Arabidopsis thaliana: one gene and its partners. The protein of the gene in region 1 interacts with the protein of each later gene in a pairwise test. Each region holds a gene or a part of one and is shown in the gene's direction. Other genes may lie near its edges.

The links.
Region 2: the proteins of ERS2 (region 1) and GLR2.9 interact in a protein complementation assay, tested with the Arabidopsis thaliana proteins (one large-scale study listed by BioGRID).
Region 3: the proteins of ERS2 (region 1) and TUB8 interact in a protein complementation assay, tested with the Arabidopsis thaliana proteins (one large-scale study listed by BioGRID).

The regions. Positions count from the first base shown.
Region 1 is NC_003070.9:1,156,117-1,159,874, reverse strand, and holds the start of ERS2 (ethylene response sensor 2), read left to right. Parts: upstream 1-2,061; 5' UTR 2,062-2,329; intron 2,330-2,735; 5' UTR 2,736-2,749; coding exon 2,750-3,758. UniProt on the Arabidopsis thaliana protein: Ethylene receptor related to bacterial two-component regulators. Acts as a redundant negative regulator of ethylene signaling.
Region 2 is NC_003071.7:12,502,902-12,506,659, reverse strand, and holds the start of GLR2.9 (glutamate receptor 2.9), read left to right. Parts: upstream 1-1,715; 5' UTR 1,716-1,741; coding exon 1,742-2,003; intron 2,004-2,628; coding exon 2,629-3,758. UniProt on the Arabidopsis thaliana protein: Glutamate-gated receptor that probably acts as a non-selective cation channel. May be involved in light-signal transduction and calcium homeostasis via the regulation of calcium influx into cells.
Region 3 is NC_003076.8:8,040,769-8,044,526, forward strand, and holds the start of TUB8 (tubulin beta 8), read left to right. Parts: upstream 1-2,084; 5' UTR 2,085-2,193; coding exon 2,194-2,587; intron 2,588-2,716; coding exon 2,717-2,986; intron 2,987-3,074; coding exon 3,075-3,758. UniProt on the Arabidopsis thaliana protein: Tubulin is the major constituent of microtubules, a cylinder consisting of laterally associated linear protofilaments composed of alpha- and beta-tubulin heterodimers.

The DNA.
Region 1 (3,758 bases):
TCTGATCCACAGATAGGTGAAAGTTTGATTTCGTTATTAATTAGTGGGAAACAAATGGAGATTTGCTGAAACGTACTCTCGATAACAGTTCATATTCAAGACTCAAGAGAATCTCGTATATTCTAAGGAAGACGTACCTAAACAGAAAGTTGGTCCCAAAAAACGAGAGAAGGAATGAAAGATCAAGGATACATGTTTTATATACATGAAAAATACTAAATTTTAAAAGAAGTATTAAACGTTTTTATAATGTCACCGGAAAGAAGATGTAAATGTATTGATCAAATCATCTGACTATAAAAGTAATTCAAATCACCATTTTTTTAAATCAATTTGAATATTTGATGAATTTCCGTATATAAACAATCAGTCCCGCTCTTGCTGTATAAATGAAACGTCTATCAAACATTAGCTAGTCTTGTACTGGATTGCCTTTACAGACAAAAGATTATACTGTATATGTATGTGGTCTCATGCAAAAAAAGTAAAAATGATTCTGTGTACATCTGTTTTGATTTGCATATATATTGGCTTAAGTGGCAAAGGTGCATGCACTATTTCTATTTCTTTGATAAAAGTTTTATGATGCATGCATTCTTACCAGTGATTTCTTTAAAAGGAGAAGACATTTGTTTTGTAATAGTGACGAGAATGTAGACAGAAAAGGAAAGGAATCAGCACGTGTTCATCGCTCGACACGTGGCCAATAATAGCATTGGATTCAGAAAAAAAGAAAAAGAAAAAAGCGAAAAAACCTGTATAACAGGAAAAAAATACAATCTGCACCAGCCGGGAATCGAACCCGGGTCTGTACCGTGGCAGGGTACTATTCTACCACTAGACCACTGGTTATTTATTTAAAAGATTTATATTGGTATAAAACCTTGACCATAAAATGTTCCTAGTGCATCCACTAAGATCAAATTCATATTAATAAACAAAAACATAAAATTCAAACCGATATAGCAAGATTGCTGTTAGTTTTGTCTTCTAAATCTGATAAGTGTTCGTTATTGTCGAGGTTATGTAGCTAGTTTATATATTACTTGTACTAAATTTCAATAGGGCAATCAAAATATACGGATTTTCATGTGTATATATTTTTCTAAATTTGCGGTTTACAAAGAAAAGTTAGTGGTTGATCATATTGATTTCTTGAAAGGGAAATATTACCAATAAAATGATAAAATTGCCAAGAAAAATTAGTAGTACGATCGATAATTTAGTGATATTGGGATCCAAAGAGATGATCATGCACTTAGTTAAGACTCCATTTTCTGATAAGAGTTAAGTGGCGGTAGACCCACAAAGAAATTTGATTCGGTATTGTTATTATTGAGTAGAAAAACAAAGATGGAGTGTTTAACTAAATCATGTCTAATAAGTAGCAAGGTAGGTCAATATAACGTTTTACAAACGAAAAATAGCATTGCATATTTAATTATCTACCAAATATCTTAAGTCAGTCGAATAAACTAACTCATTATGTTATCAAATCAGCCGCAAATTGTGCCGTTTAAGTCAATACTATTTTTAACTTAGATATTTAGTGAGTAGACTTCATACTTGCATAGTCTAGTAGTTATCATTGTTTAATGCAATTTTTTGGTTTTAATGTAAACTTATACTACTATTTGGTCATGTAATCTCACTTTCTAAAAAACCAATGTAATCATCCATAATAGAAATAAAACATTTATTTAATATAATTAACTAATTTTTAAACATTAAAAAGAATAGATTTATTTTTATACATAAAATAATAGAAATATAAATATATATATATATTATTATAGGTTGTTTATTGTAATCCAAAAGCAGAATAAAATTTGGGATAGGTATTAAGAGTCATAAATCTTGAAAATAGAGTCATTAATTAATAAAGCTGAAAAGGAAAGATTAAAAAAAGAAGAAGAATCCTCTAAAATTGAATTTGGTAAGAGTCCACGTAGGTCAAGAAGAAGAAGAAGAAGATGTCGTGCTCGTGTTGTGTTCCAAACGAAAAGCGTCTATGTTCTCTTCATGTACCGTTTCTGGGTCCCACCCCCCTTTCCTTCTTCACTCTCCCCCCAATTCCTCCCTCTCTCTCTCTCTCTCTCTCTCTCTCTCACCAAAACGTAAATCTACTCTCTCTATCGCAGCAGACACAGAAAAAGAGAGAGCGAGAGACTCTGCTCACACACATATTTACTTCCCTAACTTGTCTCTCTCTCTACACATTCTGGTGAGTTTCGTAAGATTCAACAATCGTTTAGACTTCTTCTTCTTCTTCTTCTACAGCTTTTACGTTTTCTGGAAAAGAGATTTTTGGCTGATCACTACGTTGCAGGTATATGATTTCTCAAATGTGAGATGGGTTTGATGTTCCTTTTCGCTATTTCTCATCTGATTTTGAATTTTCTGCGGATTTTGTGAGGAATCGGTAGATTTTGATGTTTGTTCTTGTGGGTGGTTCATAACTTCATACATTTAGGGGATTAAAAGAAAATTAATTTACAAATTCGGTCCTTGTTGTGAAAAAGATTTATAATCTAAAAGACATTAACTTTACTCTCTCCTTGAACAAGTTTTGAATTTTGAATCTTTTTCTGATTTTGATTTTCACTATGTTCATAGGTAATTGCACAATTCTGGGTATACAAAATCCAAACGTTACGCATATTGAATTGAAAAATCTCGATTTTGAGTTCTGGGTATGAATAAAAATCTCACCTTTTTAATTAATTCTTACTCAGGGAAACAGTAATCGATGTTAAAGACATTGTTAGTCCAATGGCTTGTCTTCTTCTTCTTCTTCTTAATCGGTTCCGTCGTCACCGCCGCAGAAGACGACGGTAGCTTGTCGTTATGCAACTGCGACGACGAAGACAGTCTCTTTAGCTACGAGACAATCCTCAACTCGCAAAAAGTCGGCGACTTTCTTATCGCAATCGCTTATTTCTCGATCCCAATCGAGCTGGTTTACTTCGTGAGCCGCACCAATGTGCCTTCACCTTACAATTGGGTGGTCTGCGAGTTTATAGCCTTCATTGTTCTCTGCGGCATGACCCATTTGCTCGCTGGTTTCACCTACGGGCCTCACTGGCCTTGGGTCATGACAGCTGTCACTGTCTTCAAGATGCTGACTGGTATCGTCTCTTTCCTCACGGCACTCTCGTTAGTCACTCTCTTACCATTGCTTCTTAAGGCTAAGGTTCGTGAGTTTATGTTGAGTAAGAAGACCAGAGAGCTTGATCGTGAGGTTGGGATCATTATGAAGCAGACTGAGACGAGTTTGCATGTTCGTATGCTCACTACCAAGATTAGGACGTCTCTTGATCGACACACCATTCTATACACTACGCTTGTGGAGTTGTCCAAGACTCTGGGGCTCAAGAACTGTGCGGTTTGGATCCCGAATGAGATCAAGACGGAGATGAATCTTACTCATGAGTTAAGACCGAGGATTGATGATGAGAATGAGAATGAGCATTTTGGTGGTTATGCTGGGTTCTCGATACCGATTAGTGAGTCTGATGTTGTGAGGATTAAGAGAAGCGAAGAGGTGAATATGTTGAGCCCTGGTTCTGTGCTTGCCTCAGTGACTAGCCGAGGGAAGTCAGGTCCTACGGTTGGGATAAGAGTCCCTATGCTTCGGGTTTGTAACTTTAAAGGCGGGACACCAGAGGCGATTCACATGTGTTATGCGATATTGGTGTGTGTGCTTCCATTGAGACAGCCGCAGGCTTGGACTTATCAAGAGCTTGAGATTGTTAAGG
Region 2 (3,758 bases), on another chromosome or scaffold:
TCCATTCCCAACCAGGGTCGTGAAAGAGGGCTCTGGTCATTCATGATCCATCCACCATGCGTGATTCTTACATCTCGGCCAAAAGATCCAATAATTTACTATATCATTATTTGCAAATGCTCATAGCTCTACAATATCACAATCTCAAGCAAGAAGAAGCGTAACAGAGGAAGAAAGATAAAGGTACACATAGTTATGTAAAAGCAATCACTGCCTTTCACGAAGTGGTTGTCCTTTAGCGAAACCCTCTCTTCGAATTGGAGACTTTTTTAGCTTTATAACCCAAGCTAAACAACTCAACGTCCTCCAGTTACCCTTTAATGACTTAAATCGGACCAAATGCATTTCAATTTAATCAATTCTTCAACACAACAGAATTTTAAGAAATTAGACTATTGTATATCAACCATAAAAAATTGTTTATGTCGTCATCACCCACGTAAATGTAGATTCTTCAGTTATATCCAAAATCATGTACTGTAATTTAGGATTAATGTATTTTCATTGTTTTGGAAAAAATAATGTTGACGAATATTTGTTTTCGATTTGCCCATATTATACGTCTTCTTGACCTATTCTCGAACATGCGTAAGAGAATGTTGTTCTACAACGGACAATCATATTGTGTATGGCATAGTTGAACAAACTAAATCTGAATAAATCCAAACTAAGAAAATTCCGTTAATTTCCGACTGCTCGTAAAAAATAAAATTAAAAATCTTGGAGGGAAACTCACTTCACTTACCCTATATTTTTTAATTTCTGTATGCTAATTCCACCAAAGTACACATATCTACAAGATACACTCTTCTATAAAACATTTATTTATTTTATAGTAGTACGACAATTTTTGATACATTTTATTTCTAAGAATTCTTTAAAAACGGTTCATTGCATTTTTTTGCGTTAATTGTATGGACATATCTACATATATAAGCTATTTTTAGTGTTTTTGTGTGCAAGCATATAATTATTCTCAACCATTTTTTTTAATTTAATCCTATTACATTTCCCAAACACATTTTTGCTTATTCTTATTCTCTTTAAAACACATATATTTCCAAATATTACCTCTAACCTATTTCGATTATTGTAATTCCTATTGCAAAACACATTTGAAAATTCTTAAAGTTGGCCAAAACAATTATTAAAAAATTATAATATTTAAATTTACCATTAAATCTGGATAAAATGTATATATTCTTTTTATATAAGAAAAGCTTACAATAGTATTTATCTCGTGCATTAGCATGGGATGGATGTATAAAACATTAGTTTTTTTCTTCAGAAAGGCTATCCTCAAAAATAGATCTCAAAAAGGGTTAAGAATCTTATTTTGCACAATTAACTCTTAATTATTTCAATTATGATATTATAATATGTCAATTACAATACTAAAAGTAAAAAAAAGAAAGAATTGCGATCCTTATATTTTATAAAATAGACGATTTGGTTATTTAATAAGTTATGGGTATTTTGTAGTTTGCTTTTCAAAGAGAATTCATCTGCAAAAGCCTCATTTGACTCTTTCAAACCAGTTTTATTAATTTCTAGTCAACACACTTTTTTTTAAAAAAAAATCGATATGTCTCTTTCGTTGAGAAACCAATTTTTGGCATAGTATTTCAAAGTCTTTCATTGATTATAAGTATCTTTCAAACCGATCCTTCCACTGTATATATATAACAGGAAAAAAGTAAGTTAAAGAATCACATAAAGTCTCCTCAGTTTTGGGGCGATTATGATGATGAAAACTAATAACACCTTTTTGAGTTACTTTGTTTGCGGTTTTTTGTTGATGGGGGTTGGTTTAGGACAAAACCAAACAAGTGAAATCAAAGTAGGAGTAGTTCTTGATCTCAATACAACATTTTCCAAGATCTGCCTCACTTCTATAAAGATGGCCGTGTCCGATTTCTACGCGGATCATCCAAATTACCTCACAAGACTTACGCTTCACGTTAGAGATTCCATGGAAGATACTGTTCAGGCTTCAGCTGCAGGTTCGTTACTTCTCTATGTCTTGCTTCAGCTTCCCGTCATTTTGATTTATTACTTATTAGTTGCGGTTGAATGAAACATATTACGTATAGACATGGTTTAGCTAATTACTATTTTATTGAATGTGACCAATATTTTAGATCAGTATTAAAAATCAAAGTATCATATGGGGGTATATGCTAAGAGTCTTGGTGACGATTTATCTTTTAGACTATACTTCAAAAACCAAGTGTATTCTTATGTGGTCTAATGTCTATGGTAAGAGCAATCTCTTGATAGAGAAGTCCAATTTTTTTCTCTTCTAGAAATTCATGGTGACGGTTGTATGGTCGCAGAAATCCTGATTACTATTAGTCTCGTTAATTATATTTAACTCATGAGTCTTAATATATTAGATGAATAGTCGAAAACTATTGGTGACATGTCTTATGATACCTCTACAATTTTAACTATTTATGTAAATTAATATTGTCTTATTACTTTGCAACTAGAGCTCTTTTGGACTCGACAAACATGGCTTAGCCTTATAAGTTGTAACTCTTCCATTGAAAATGGAAGATATTATATCCAAAAACAGAGGATATTTAACCTTTCTTCTTTTCTTTATGTTGCTTGTGGTGCAAGCAGCCTTGGACCTAATCAAAACCGAGCAAGTGAGCGCCATCATCGGACCAATAAACTCTATGCAAGCAGATTTTATGATCAAACTGGCCAACAAAACTCAAGTACCGACCATCACATTCTCTGCAACAAGCCCTCTTTTGACATCCATCAAAAGCCCTTACTTCGTCAGAGCCACTATCGACGACTCATCCCAGGTCAGGGCCATTGCGTCCATTTTCAAATTCTTTAGGTGGAGAAGGGTCGTCGCAATTTATGTGGACAACGAGTTTGGTGAAGGATTCATGCCTTTCTTGTTTGACGCTTTACAAGACGTGGAAGTCAAGAGAAGTGTGATCCCTCCGGAGGCTATCGATGATGAGATTCAGAAAGAACTTCGTAAGCTCATGGAGAGGCAAGCGAGAGTATTTGTTGTCCACATGGAATCAAGTCTCGCTTTACGGGTTTTTCAGATAGCTAGGGATATCGGGATGATGGAGGAAGGGTATGTATGGTTAATGACCAATGGAATGACGCATATGATGAGACATATAAACAATGGTCGTAGCTTAAATACTATAGAGGGCGTGTTAGGTGTGAGGAGCCATGTCCCCAAATCGAAAGAGCTCGGAGATTTCCGTTTGAGATGGAAAAGAACATTTGAGAAGGAGAATCCATCGATGAGAGATGATCTAAACGTTTTTGCATTATGGGCATATGATTCAATTACTGCATTGGCTAAGGCTGTGGAGAAAGCCAACACAAAGAGCTTATGGTATGATAATGGGAGCACCTTGTCAAAAAATAGGACAGATTTGGGGAACGTAGGGGTCTCTCTCTATGGTCCAAGTCTTCAAAAGGCTTTCTCGGAGGTAAGATTCAATGGTTTGGCAGGAGAGTTTAAACTCATAGACGGGCAGCTCCAGTCACCAAAGTTTGAGATCATAAATTTTGTCGGAAATGAAGAGAGGATTATTGGATTTTGGACACCAAGAGATGGACTCATGGATGCAACAAGTTCAAACAAAAAAACGTTGGGGCCAGTGATATGGCCAGGGAAGTCAAAAATTGTTCCAAAAGGATGGGAGATTCCAGGGAAGAAGCTTAGAGTGGGCGTTCCAATGAAGAAAGGCTTCTTTGATTTTGTTAAGGTAACC
Region 3 (3,758 bases), on another chromosome or scaffold:
TTGTGTAGAGAAAAAAGAAAATATATATACGTATAACCAATGTTGTAGATTACTAGATTTATGTTTCAAGTTTAGGTTATTTCACACGAAACTCAAAATGACCAAATTTCATGTAATAGCTTTAGAAAGATGAAATATTATTTACGAGCTGATGTCGTTTCTTAGGTTTCCATGCCATATTCTAAGTATCTAAACACCAGCCTAAAAAGAGAGTTTAAATTTGGTAAACGATAACGATCACCTTAAGAAAATATTAAGCTCAAGAAGAGTAGTAGTTAGTATAAGATTAAGTTGGTTATGAAACTGATGGTGTAACTTGATGGCCACTACTACTCACTGACACCACAAGTTGCTCTAACTTTGAGACTGATATGTTTCTTTTAGATTGATACATTGCTTCTGATATAGGCCATAATCATTTAAAAGCTGTTTTTGCTGTCTTTCTCTCTAATTTTCACGTCACGTAGGGTCAAATTTCACCTGTTTTATACTATTTCTAGTTGATCATTGAGTGATTTGCACGTTACTGTTCAGATTAGACCCACCCATCGCACTACAATAGTATTGGATGATTTATAAACTTATATATAAAGCGTAAGCTATCAAACACATCCACACAAAACTAGACTGCCGTAAAAAAAAAAACTAAATTATGTTTTTTTTTAGTTCAAGCTCTCGAATACATCCACACGAAACTAGATTGCCGTCAAAACAAACAAGTAAATTAAGATAAATCTTAAAGTCGAATGCACACTGAACAACTAAACTATGTATATACGAAAATCTACTTGCACATGTGCATCTTTTGTTATTACTTATTTGCTTTTTACTATTTCATATTAATGATTGCTTCGACATATTGGAATCTAATCTCAAATCACCAAGAAGTAGTGGAACAAATCAATCTTTGTAATTTGTCTTAATTTTACGATATGAAGAAGTACAATTCAAATCTAAATTCTTTAATCCTGAATTCTTCTGTTTGATATCGTCCCTAATTCCCTAATAAATCTAAAACTTTATAAATCAAATCGTATGACGTATTACAATTTTACCGTATATAAATATAGTGTATTATTCTTGGTGGTTTTACCGTATATAAAATACATCACAGTAATCCAGTCACGTGCTTTTCCGTTGGTATCAATCACGTGTCTGTCAAGGTTCGCTTCATGTGCAAGAATAAGAAAAAAGCGGGAGAACAAATAAAAGAAGAAGGAATTTGTTCAGATCTCGCAGCCTTTTTATCTTCAAGGTTTCAGTATTCACATGCATCACGTGAGAATGAATACCTGATCCACACTCTGGATCTATCTGTACAACACCCTCACTGTTTTTTTCCTTATTATTTCAGATCAGATAATGCAGATGTTTATACTTTATAGCAGTTAATGCAGCCTACCAAAAAAAACATTTATTGTTTATGGATCAAATTGTGCAATATCTATATTTATAAGTGAAAACATTTTTCCTTCATGAAATTATAATTATGGGATTTAATAAAGTTCAAGAAATACACTGTTTTGTTCTATTTTCCCAGTGGGTCTTTTTGCAGTAGAATTAAACTTTTTCTCCACATACTGACAAAAAATATACAGAATGTCTTGCTTTGAAAAAAAAAAAAATCATAATCATTTGCAAAGTGGAAAAAATTATTAATTTTTATTTCAAATGTTTTATTAATAGTAAATTTCAGGATATTAATTTATGTCGTGGGCCAACGGACCTAACAGCCGTTACTTACCTCCGTCATTTGTGGCGGCAATAAAGAAGAATACCAACGTTACCGGTTTGAGTTTATCGGTTTGGTTCAATTGGTTATAACAAAAATTAATTTATATTCCTAAAAACAGAGAAACACTCATAAAAGTAGTATTTTCACTAAAATACAACCAATTAAATCATAAGAAATAAAATGCATTCGAATTTAACAATAAAAAAATGTATTGTGAATAACTGAAAATTCAATAGTTGATTTTTCTGGTTAAGTATGGTACGGTTCACGTAAACCAGTACAGTTAGAACCGGCAAAACAACCCAAATGAAAAATCCCGTCTCCGTTATCTATTTAGTATAAAACCAACCACTTCGTCTTCTTCATTTCTTCACAAGTCATAACCGTTTCAAATTCTCTCTCTCTTTCTCTTTCTTTCTCAATTTTTGTAGTTTCATACTCTAGCTTACTAATCAAAGATGCGAGAGATTCTTCACATACAAGGTGGCCAATGCGGAAACCAGATCGGAGCTAAGTTCTGGGAAGTAGTTTGCGCCGAGCACGGGATCGATTCGACGGGAAGATACCAAGGAGAGAACGATTTGCAACTCGAACGAGTCAATGTCTACTACAACGAAGCGAGTTGCGGAAGATTCGTCCCACGCGCCGTCCTCATGGATCTAGAGCCTGGTACTATGGATAGTGTCAGATCCGGTCCGTACGGTCAGATCTTCCGTCCTGATAACTTCGTATTTGGTCAATCCGGTGCCGGTAACAATTGGGCTAAAGGACACTACACTGAAGGTGCTGAGCTTATCGATTCCGTTCTCGATGTTGTTCGTAAGGAAGCTGAGAATTGTGACTGCTTGCAAGGTTAGAAATCGCTCTCTTCGATCTCGTAGTTGTGTAGAAACTTAGCAATCTAGCTATCGATTTGGTCATATTTAGGATTGATGTTGATTTAGATTTGTGTGTGTGTTGTTGATGTGAATGATTCTTCAGGATTCCAAGTGTGTCACTCATTAGGAGGAGGAACTGGATCTGGAATGGGAACGTTGTTGATTTCAAAGATTAGGGAAGAGTATCCAGATAGGATGATGCTGACGTTTTCTGTATTCCCATCACCGAAAGTGTCAGACACTGTTGTTGAGCCTTATAATGCAACTCTCTCTGTTCATCAGCTTGTGGAGAATGCAGATGAGTGTATGGTTCTTGACAATGAAGCTCTCTATGACATTTGCTTCAGAACTCTTAAGCTCACCACTCCAAGCTGTAAGATCCTCTAGTTGATTTAGTAATTTAGTGTATTTGTATGATCAAGCTATATGCTAATGGGATTCTTTGTTTGGGTTTTGTTCAGTTGGAGACTTGAATCACCTCATCTCTGCAACCATGAGTGGTGTCACTTGCTGCCTTCGTTTCCCGGGTCAGCTAAACTCTGACCTGCGCAAGCTTGCAGTGAATTTAATCCCATTCCCTCGTCTCCACTTCTTCATGGTTGGGTTTGCACCACTCACATCTCGTGGATCACAGCAATACAGAGCCTTAACCGTCCCTGAGCTCACTCAACAGATGTGGGATGCCAAGAATATGATGTGTGCAGCTGATCCACGCCACGGCAGGTACTTGACAGCCTCAGCCATGTTCAGAGGCAAAATGAGCACGAAAGAAGTTGACGAACAGATGATCAACGTTCAGAACAAGAACTCGTCATACTTTGTGGAATGGATCCCAAACAACGTGAAATCAACCGTGTGTGACATTCCACCAACAGGTCTGAAAATGGCTTCGACTTTCATCGGGAACTCGACATCGATCCAGGAGATGTTTAGGCGTGTGAGCGAACAGTTCACAGCGATGTTCAGAAGAAAAGCTTTCTTGCATTGGTACACAGGTGAAGGAATGGACGAGATGGAGTTCACAGAGGCAGAGAGCAACATGAATGATTTGGTATCAGAGTATCAACAGTACCAAGACGCAACGGCTGATGAGGAAGAAGGGTATGAGTATGAAGAAGACGAAGTGGAAGTGCAGGAGGAGCAAT